Saccharomyces cerevisiae S288C: one gene and its partner. The protein of the gene in region 1 interacts with the protein of each later gene in a biochemical or structural test. Each region holds a gene or a part of one and is shown in the gene's direction. Other genes may lie near its edges. The genes, in order: ATG4 and ATG1.

Region 1 (3,937 bases):
ATCAGAAATCGGAATATCTGAGTAGGTTGGCTCAGCTGGTTCAATTTTTGGTATAAGAGAATTTTTAATAAAATTCAAATATGCAGGTAATCTATCTTCAGGAAGACCTAACTCGTCTACAACGAAGTCTGTGAGTAAGTCCTGGTCAATCCAATGAAAGTCGTAATCTCCCAGTAATCTGTAACACCGTAGATAATATGAATTGTCTACTCCGCCCATTCTTATATTGGAGACCACTATGTCATTAGTATTTATGACAAAATCTTCTTCTTTGAATCCAAATTCTAACTCTTCGCTAGCAGGAGATGGCAGATTATCATTATTGCCTTCGAATGTTTTGGTACCATTTATTGAAAGACATTTTATATCTTCTGTCAACTGCGGACTAGGGCTTGGTAAAAGATTGTTGTCAGCTCGGGAATTGTGACGTTGGCCAACATAATTAAACCCTTGATCAACCTCAGAACTTGCTGAGGATTCGTATAAAGGTTCACTATTATTCTCTGTTTCTATTTCGTAGTCTAGTTCATCATTGTCCGAGTCGCTAGTATGCATACCATGTAATACGTTGGAAATGTAACCAGCAAATGGATGATATGTCTTATTACCCTTATTTGGAACGTCAACACTAATTTCCTTGCTTTCGTTACCTTCGGAAACGCTAAGTTCAACCTTTCCAATTGTTAAGATAGGATCGAACTCTATCGCAACTTCTCTTGGCCTTGCGATTTCCTCGATACATACTCTTTTTATTTTGGTTAGATCCGGCGATTGCTGAGCCTCTTCATCTACAAAAAACAGGTCACCATCTTCAACTTTGCTTTCATTCGAAGACAGCGAGTGGTCCGTCGAGGGTGAATTCTGACTATCATCATCCTCGTTTTCACTGTCTTCATTGTTAATATATTCAACATCAGAAGTCATCTTTCCTGGTTCTTCAAAAACGTCTGCTTCCCTTTCGACAATTTCTTCACTGTTCTTTGTTTCGTTCTTTGCTCTCAGTTTTTGAATCATATTGTGGGATGGATCGTAAACTTCCTTAGCTTTTACAAATTGCATAGGTCTTTTGCGGAATGCTGCCCTTCCTGCTTGTAGGTCAGTTGAAGAATCATATCGATTACCTGGTCTTAAACCACCCATTTTCATAGAACGGCTCTTGGCATCGCGACCAAAATAATAGTCTTCTATAGTTTTTGGTGATATGAATGCTCTTCCTGGGTTGAAGTCGGCGCCTACATCATCAAGATCACCTTCTCCTAGTGGTATAGAAGAGTTATGCCAACTGTTAGTGGGAGTAGGTTTTTTCTTTATCTTTCTGCCTTGTATGCCTTTAGCATTCCCCCTGCCAGCTTTCTTGGAATTGCTACCACGTGCATGCCTACGTCTGCTTCCTTGATAATGACTATGCCTTTTTGCCATTTTTTTTGACGGTTACAACAATTTATGCTTATATTTGACTCTGCGATTAAATCACTTCTTCCTTCTAGAAACTCTGCGCAGGCCTAATTGTTGTTGTTTTGTTCAGATCTTATTTAATTGTAAAATGTCAAATTTCACTTTTATTCTTTAGGCGGTGACCGTTGCAGCTGCCAACAATAGCGCCTCAAAGGAAAAAAGTAAAAATATACACACAATAACGTTAGTAGATGAAGAATGGACGACTTCTTATCACGTATAGGAGTGATATACATGCAGAGGTGGCTACAACTGTGGAAAATGGATTTGGTACAAAAAGTGTCTCATGGCGTTTTTGAAGGCTCGTCCGAAGAACCGGCTGCTCTTATGAATCATGATTATATAGTATTAGGGGAAGTATATCCTGAGCGAGACGAAGAATCTGGCGCTGAACAATGTGAACAAGACTGTCGATATCGCGGTGAAGCGGTTAGTGACGGGTTTTTAAGCTCTCTTTTTGGTAGGGAAATTTCTTCTTACACAAAGGAATTTCTTTTGGATGTACAATCAAGGGTCAACTTTACATATCGGACAAGATTTGTTCCTATAGCAAGGGCGCCAGATGGGCCTTCACCTTTAAGTCTAAATTTATTAGTACGTACAAATCCGATCAGTACAATAGAGGACTATATAGCAAATCCTGATTGCTTTAACACTGATATTGGGTGGGGGTGTATGATAAGGACAGGACAAAGTTTGTTGGGGAATGCCTTACAAATCCTTCATTTGGGCAGAGATTTCAGGGTAAATGGTAACGAAAGTCTGGAAAGAGAATCAAAATTTGTAAATTGGTTTAATGACACGCCTGAGGCTCCATTTTCGTTACATAACTTTGTTTCTGCAGGTACAGAACTCTCTGATAAAAGACCAGGTGAATGGTTTGGTCCCGCAGCTACGGCAAGGAGTATACAATCTTTAATATATGGCTTCCCCGAATGTGGCATCGATGATTGTATAGTATCTGTTTCATCCGGCGATATCTATGAAAATGAAGTTGAAAAAGTATTTGCTGAGAATCCAAATAGTAGAATATTGTTCTTGTTGGGCGTGAAGCTCGGGATTAATGCGGTAAATGAGAGCTATAGAGAAAGTATATGTGGTATCTTAAGTTCAACACAGTCAGTAGGCATTGCCGGCGGTAGGCCGTCTTCATCGTTGTATTTTTTTGGTTATCAAGGAAATGAATTTTTACATTTCGATCCTCATATTCCTCAACCGGCAGTAGAAGATTCATTTGTAGAGTCGTGCCATACCAGTAAATTTGGTAAATTGCAACTATCGGAAATGGATCCCTCGATGCTCATTGGTATTTTGATTAAGGGCGAAAAAGACTGGCAACAATGGAAGCTAGAAGTTGCAGAATCTGCTATTATCAATGTTCTTGCTAAGAGAATGGATGACTTTGATGTGAGTTGTAGTATGGATGACGTGGAAAGTGTAAGTTCTAACTCAATGAAGAAAGATGCAAGCAATAATGAAAATCTCGGAGTACTAGAGGGAGACTACGTAGATATTGGTGCAATATTCCCACACACAACAAATACAGAAGATGTAGACGAATATGATTGTTTTCAAGATATTCATTGCAAGAAACAGAAGATTGTTGTTATGGGAAACACACACACTGTTAATGCGAATTTAACAGATTATGAAGTAGAAGGCGTCCTTGTAGAGAAGGAAACGGTAGGTATTCACAGTCCTATTGATGAAAAATGCTAGTGTAAGGAATTCACTAGTTCATAAGCATATATACTTGTTTTAATATATTCCCTAAAACTGAGGTATCCAGTTCTTTTGTTCTTATTCGTTTGATCATCCTTTACGTATTTTTCGTCTGCGGCAGTGGAAAGAACTTAAAAAACGAAAGATAATAAAGAAAAAGGCCAGTCGGCACGAATTAAAGACCACCTGTAAGAAGATTAAGACAACGGTGGTATAAACTAGTGTCGAAGTCCAAAATGCCTAGTCATCGCAATTCAAACTTGAAGTTTTGCACAGTTTGTGCATCAAACAACAATCGTTCAATGGAATCGCATAAAGTCCTGCAAGAAGCAGGCTATAATGTTAGCTCTTACGGAACAGGTTCAGCTGTGAGACTGCCTGGTCTATCGATAGATAAGCCTAATGTGTACTCATTTGGTACACCCTATAATGATATATATAATGATCTTTTATCACAATCAGCAGACCGTTACAAGTCGAACGGTTTATTGCAAATGCTGGATCGTAATAGAAGACTCAAAAAAGCACCTGAAAAATGGCAAGAAAGTACAAAAGTCTTCGACTTCGTTTTCACTTGTGAAGAGAGATGTTTTGATGCCGTTTGTGAAGATTTGATGAATAGAGGTGGGAAATTAAACAAAATAGTGCATGTAATTAATGTTGACATTAAAGATGATGATGAAAATGCTAAAATTGGTAGCAAAGCTATATTGGAATTAGCTGATATGCTCAATGATAAAATAGAACAATGTGAAAAAGA
Region 2 (5,168 bases), on another chromosome or scaffold:
AGCAGGAGCAGATCTCATTCTTTCTATAAAGGGGGCCATAATAGGTCTGACTACGGCGGTTCCAGGGACTCATTCCAAAGCAGTGGAAGCAGATATTCTAGGCAACTGGCAGAACTCAAGGACATGGGTTTCGGTGATACAAACAAAAATTTAGATGCATTATCGTCCGCTCACGGAAATATCAATAGAGCAATCGATTATCTAGAAAAAAGTTCAAGTTCAAGAAATAGTGTATCGGCAGCAGCGACAACATCAACTCCGCCCCTGCCCAGGAGACGTGCGACAACAAGTGGCCCACAGCCAGCTATTTTTGATGGTACAAATGTAATCACGCCAGATTTTACTTCAAATTCAGCATCTTTTGTACAAGCAAAGCCAGCAGTTTTCGATGGTACCCTTCAACAGTATTACGATCCTGCTACCGGAATGATATATGTAGATCAGCAGCAATACGCCATGGCTATGCAACAGCAGCAACAGCAACAGCAACAGCTTGCTGTCGCACAGGCTCAGGCTCAGGCACAGGCACAGGCACAGGCTCAAGTTCAGGCTCAGGCTCAGGCTCAGGCCCAGGCTCAGGCTCAAGCACAGCAGATCCAGATGCAACAGCTTCAGATGCAGCAACAGCAACAGGCGCCATTATCTTTTCAGCAAATGTCGCAAGGAGGAAACCTGCCACAAGGTTATTTCTACACACAATAAAAATAAGATACATTGCCGCTGCTCCGCATTACATATCATATAGAGTGACACTAAGTAATTAAATGACACTAAGTAACGAAAGATATCTGTAAACAACGACTATATACCAGAATTAGTCATATTCTCTATTGTATTCACCCTACACAGCCGCATTACACAGCTGCTCCGGACGTTTTACGCTGCACATCAATGACTAATACCACTGTATTTGATCCACACTTAGCGCAAAAGTCACCTGGGTGGCGTTTTCCGCTCGCGCTCCGCCGGTGAGAGCGAGAAAAAAAAAAGGGATTGGGCGGTAATGTAAGGAAAACCCACTAGTTAAAATCAATGAGATAAGGAACTCTCTTTTTTTCCCGTTAATCATCTTTTCCTTGTTCGTTTCGTGTATCTGTAATGAATCTTATCGGAGTAACTATTACTGGAAAGCCATACCGTTAAAGAAGCAAGCATATCATTCGTATTCAAGCATCTGTTTTTCTTTTTAACCGCTCGGCTCTGATTTCTTAAACCATTTCCCCCATCAGCATCAGTTTGTGATTTGTAACTATATCGATCGTGGAATCGATGGAATTCTAAGCGTCATTTAGTTGGCAACAAAAGGAATCGAGCATCTCATAAAGGAGCTTATATTATTAATATCTTCCTGATCGTACTATTTTTTTTTAGCTTTTTATTTTTTAGGCCGAGGTTAATTCTAGAACGCCACATTTCATCACCTTTAAGTTAAGTACCAAGGCCATCTTTTACCCTTTTTAGTTTCTGGGGAAACAGAGAACAGTACTATAGAAGATAAAAAGATATAATACAATCGTAGTAATAGTACCCATAATAAAATAACATATAATATAATAAAAACATAAGGCAAAGGAGATAGGAGAATAATCATTGATATCTCCACAAAACGAATTTGAAGCTACCCCATATTTTCAAATCTCTTTTACAACACCAGACGAGAAATTAAGAAAATGGGAGACATTAAAAATAAAGATCACACAACCTCTGTGAACCATAATCTAATGGCAAGTGCAGGAAATTACACCGCTGAGAAAGAAATCGGAAAGGGTTCGTTTGCCACTGTATATAGAGGGCATCTGACATCCGACAAATCTCAGCATGTAGCCATAAAGGAAGTATCAAGGGCGAAATTAAAAAATAAGAAATTACTAGAGAATTTGGAAATAGAAATCGCTATCTTGAAGAAAATCAAGCATCCTCATATCGTCGGACTTATTGACTGTGAACGAACATCAACAGATTTTTATTTGATCATGGAGTACTGTGCTCTTGGGGACCTAACATTTCTGTTGAAAAGGCGTAAAGAATTGATGGAGAATCATCCTCTACTAAGGACCGTATTTGAAAAATACCCTCCACCGAGTGAGAACCATAACGGCCTGCATAGAGCGTTTGTCTTGAGTTATTTACAGCAGTTAGCGTCCGCTTTGAAATTTTTGAGGTCTAAAAACTTGGTTCATAGAGACATCAAGCCTCAAAACTTACTATTATCTACACCCCTAATTGGATATCATGATTCAAAAAGCTTCCATGAACTTGGATTTGTTGGGATCTACAACTTACCCATTTTAAAGATAGCAGATTTCGGGTTTGCAAGATTTTTGCCAAACACGTCATTAGCAGAAACTCTTTGTGGCTCACCATTATATATGGCACCAGAAATTTTGAATTATCAAAAATATAACGCTAAAGCAGATCTGTGGTCTGTCGGTACAGTGGTATTCGAAATGTGCTGTGGCACCCCACCGTTTAGAGCTTCCAATCATTTGGAGTTATTCAAGAAAATTAAAAGAGCAAACGATGTCATAACGTTTCCTTCATATTGCAATATTGAACCAGAGTTAAAAGAGTTGATATGTAGTTTATTGACATTTGATCCAGCCCAAAGAATAGGATTTGAGGAGTTTTTTGCTAACAAGGTAGTCAACGAAGACTTGTCTTCTTATGAATTGGAAGATGATTTACCTGAGTTAGAATCCAAATCAAAAGGTATTGTAGAAAGTAATATGTTCGTTTCTGAGTATTTATCTAAACAGCCAAAGAGTCCGAACAGTAATCTTGCAGGTCATCAATCAATGGCAGATAATCCCGCGGAGCTCAGTGATGCCCTCAAGAACAGCAATATATTAACTGCCCCAGCCGTTAAAACAGACCATACACAAGCCGTAGATAAAAAGGCTTCAAATAATAAATACCATAATAGCCTAGTTTCAGATAGAAGCTTTGAAAGAGAATATGTGGTGGTAGAGAAGAAATCGGTTGAAGTTAATTCATTGGCAGACGAGGTTGCTCAAGCAGGATTCAATCCAAATCCTATTAAGCACCCAACTTCAACTCAAAATCAGAACGTCTTATTGAATGAGCAATTCTCTCCAAACAATCAACAGTATTTTCAAAATCAAGGAGAAAATCCGAGGTTACTGAGGGCCACATCATCTTCCAGTGGAGGTAGTGATGGGTCTAGGCGACCATCTTTGGTGGATAGACGCTTGTCTATATCCTCGCTGAATCCATCTAATGCATTATCAAGAGCCCTCGGTATTGCATCAACGAGATTGTTTGGTGGTGCAAATCAACAGCAGCAACAGCAACAAATCACATCTTCCCCACCGTACAGTCAAACTTTGTTGAATTCCCAACTTTTTCATGAACTTACTGAGAATATAATATTAAGAATAGATCACCTACAGCATCCAGAGACACTGAAATTAGATAATACTAATATCGTTAGTATTTTGGAATCTCTGGCCGCAAAGGCATTTGTTGTTTACTCTTATGCAGAAGTGAAATTTTCTCAAATTGTTCCATTATCAACAACATTAAAAGGCATGGCTAACTTTGAGAACAGGCGCAGTATGGATAGTAATGCTATTGCAGAAGAACAAGACTCAGACGATGCAGAAGAAGAGGATGAAACGTTGAAAAAGTACAAGGAAGATTGCTTATCCACGAAAACTTTTGGAAAGGGTAGAACTTTATCTGCCACATCTCAGTTGAGTGCAACTTTCAATAAACTACCACGTTCGGAAATGATCCTTCTATGTAATGAGGCCATTGTCTTATATATGAAGGCATTATCCATTTTATCAAAATCTATGCAGGTAACGTCCAACTGGTGGTATGAATCTCAAGAAAAATCATGTTCTCTAAGAGTTAACGTGTTGGTACAGTGGCTAAGGGAAAAATTTAATGAATGTTTAGAAAAAGCTGATTTCCTGAGATTAAAAATTAACGACTTGAGATTCAAGCATGCTTCTGAGGTAGCTGAAAATCAAACTTTGGAAGAAAAAGGTAGTTCGGAAGAGCCAGTATATTTAGAAAAGCTATTATATGATCGTGCATTAGAAATATCTAAGATGGCCGCACATATGGAATTAAAAGGAGAAAATTTGTACAACTGTGAATTAGCTTATGCAACTTCACTTTGGATGTTAGAAACTTCTCTGGACGATGATGATTTTACGAATGCCTATGGTGACTACCCTTTTAAAACTAACATACATCTAAAAAGTAACGACGTTGAAGATAAAGAGAAGTATCATAGTGTGTTGGATGAAAATGACAGAATAATCATAAGAAAGTATATTGATAGTATTGCAAACAGGTTGAAAATATTGAGGCAGAAGATGAACCACCAAAATTAAGTGATGCATAATATGGTTTTCTTATTAAGTACAAATGACCTGCTATATTTTCAAGTATCTTCATGATTATGTTATGCTACTCTCGAAATGCTTTACGAGTTCGTCATTAAAGTATTCAAATTTTATTTTCCCTTTGTGTTTTGTTTTGTTTTTATTTCTACGTGATTTTTTTCTTGAAATCCAGCTCTTTTATACCTGGATGGGTTTTATTTTGATGTTTAAATGTTAATTAAGGAAATTATTGAATTCCTTCGGTTTCGGTGTGTTTTTTTCTTTTTAAGTTTTTTTTTGTTGCGTTTAGTACTTGCCTTTGGCTATACATATCCTTTTAATCTAATTTTTATTTCTTCAAAATTTGATTCTTTAACCTTTTGTTCTATATATATATATAAATGTATGTATGTATGATTTGATTGAGGAGGCTTTAACAAGTCATTAATATCTTTATTATTTTTACTTGTTGAGTTCATTAAAATTCATTTTATAATTTGTTGTTACAAACAGTATTTTACAAGTCATAATAAACGTTCAAAAACAAACACAATATTAAAAGAATTGGTATTAGGATCCGACATGACAATTAACTTAGATCCTTCTATCAAGTTTCTAATCATATATTACATCTATTAAAATAATTTACATATATCATGCTAAAGCTTATAAAGAGACATTCTTCTTCTCGTGCGCTGGGCGTCGCTAGCCTCAAATACAAGTGATGCGTCTGCTTCTATTCTAAGGTCATCCTTGCTGTTAGATTTCCCTTCTACCAGGTGGGCTTTTATACGTTGAGGTACATTACCGACA

The links.
Region 2: of the proteins of ATG4 (region 1) and ATG1, one has a biochemical effect on the other in vitro, tested with the Saccharomyces cerevisiae proteins (2 studies listed by BioGRID).

Annotation. Positions count from the first base shown.
Region 1 is NC_001146.8:225,681-229,617, forward strand, and holds ATG4 (cysteine protease ATG4), read left to right. Parts: upstream 1-1,689; coding exon 1,690-3,174; downstream 3,175-3,937. Other genes in the region: SQS1 (Sqs1p), read right to left, coding at 1-1,419; SSU72 (RNA polymerase II subunit A C-terminal domain phosphatase), read left to right, coding at 3,414-3,937. UniProt on the Saccharomyces cerevisiae protein: Cysteine protease that plays a key role in cytoplasm to vacuole transport (Cvt) and autophagy by mediating both proteolytic activation and delipidation of ATG8.
Region 2 is NC_001139.9:158,395-163,562, forward strand, and holds ATG1 (serine/threonine protein kinase ATG1), read left to right. Parts: upstream 1-1,670; coding exon 1,671-4,364; downstream 4,365-5,168. Other genes in the region: GTS1 (Gts1p), read left to right, coding at 1-702; serine/threonine protein kinase TOS3, read right to left, coding at 5,015-5,168. UniProt on the Saccharomyces cerevisiae protein: Serine/threonine protein kinase involved in the cytoplasm to vacuole transport (Cvt) and found to be essential in autophagy, where it is required for the formation of autophagosomes.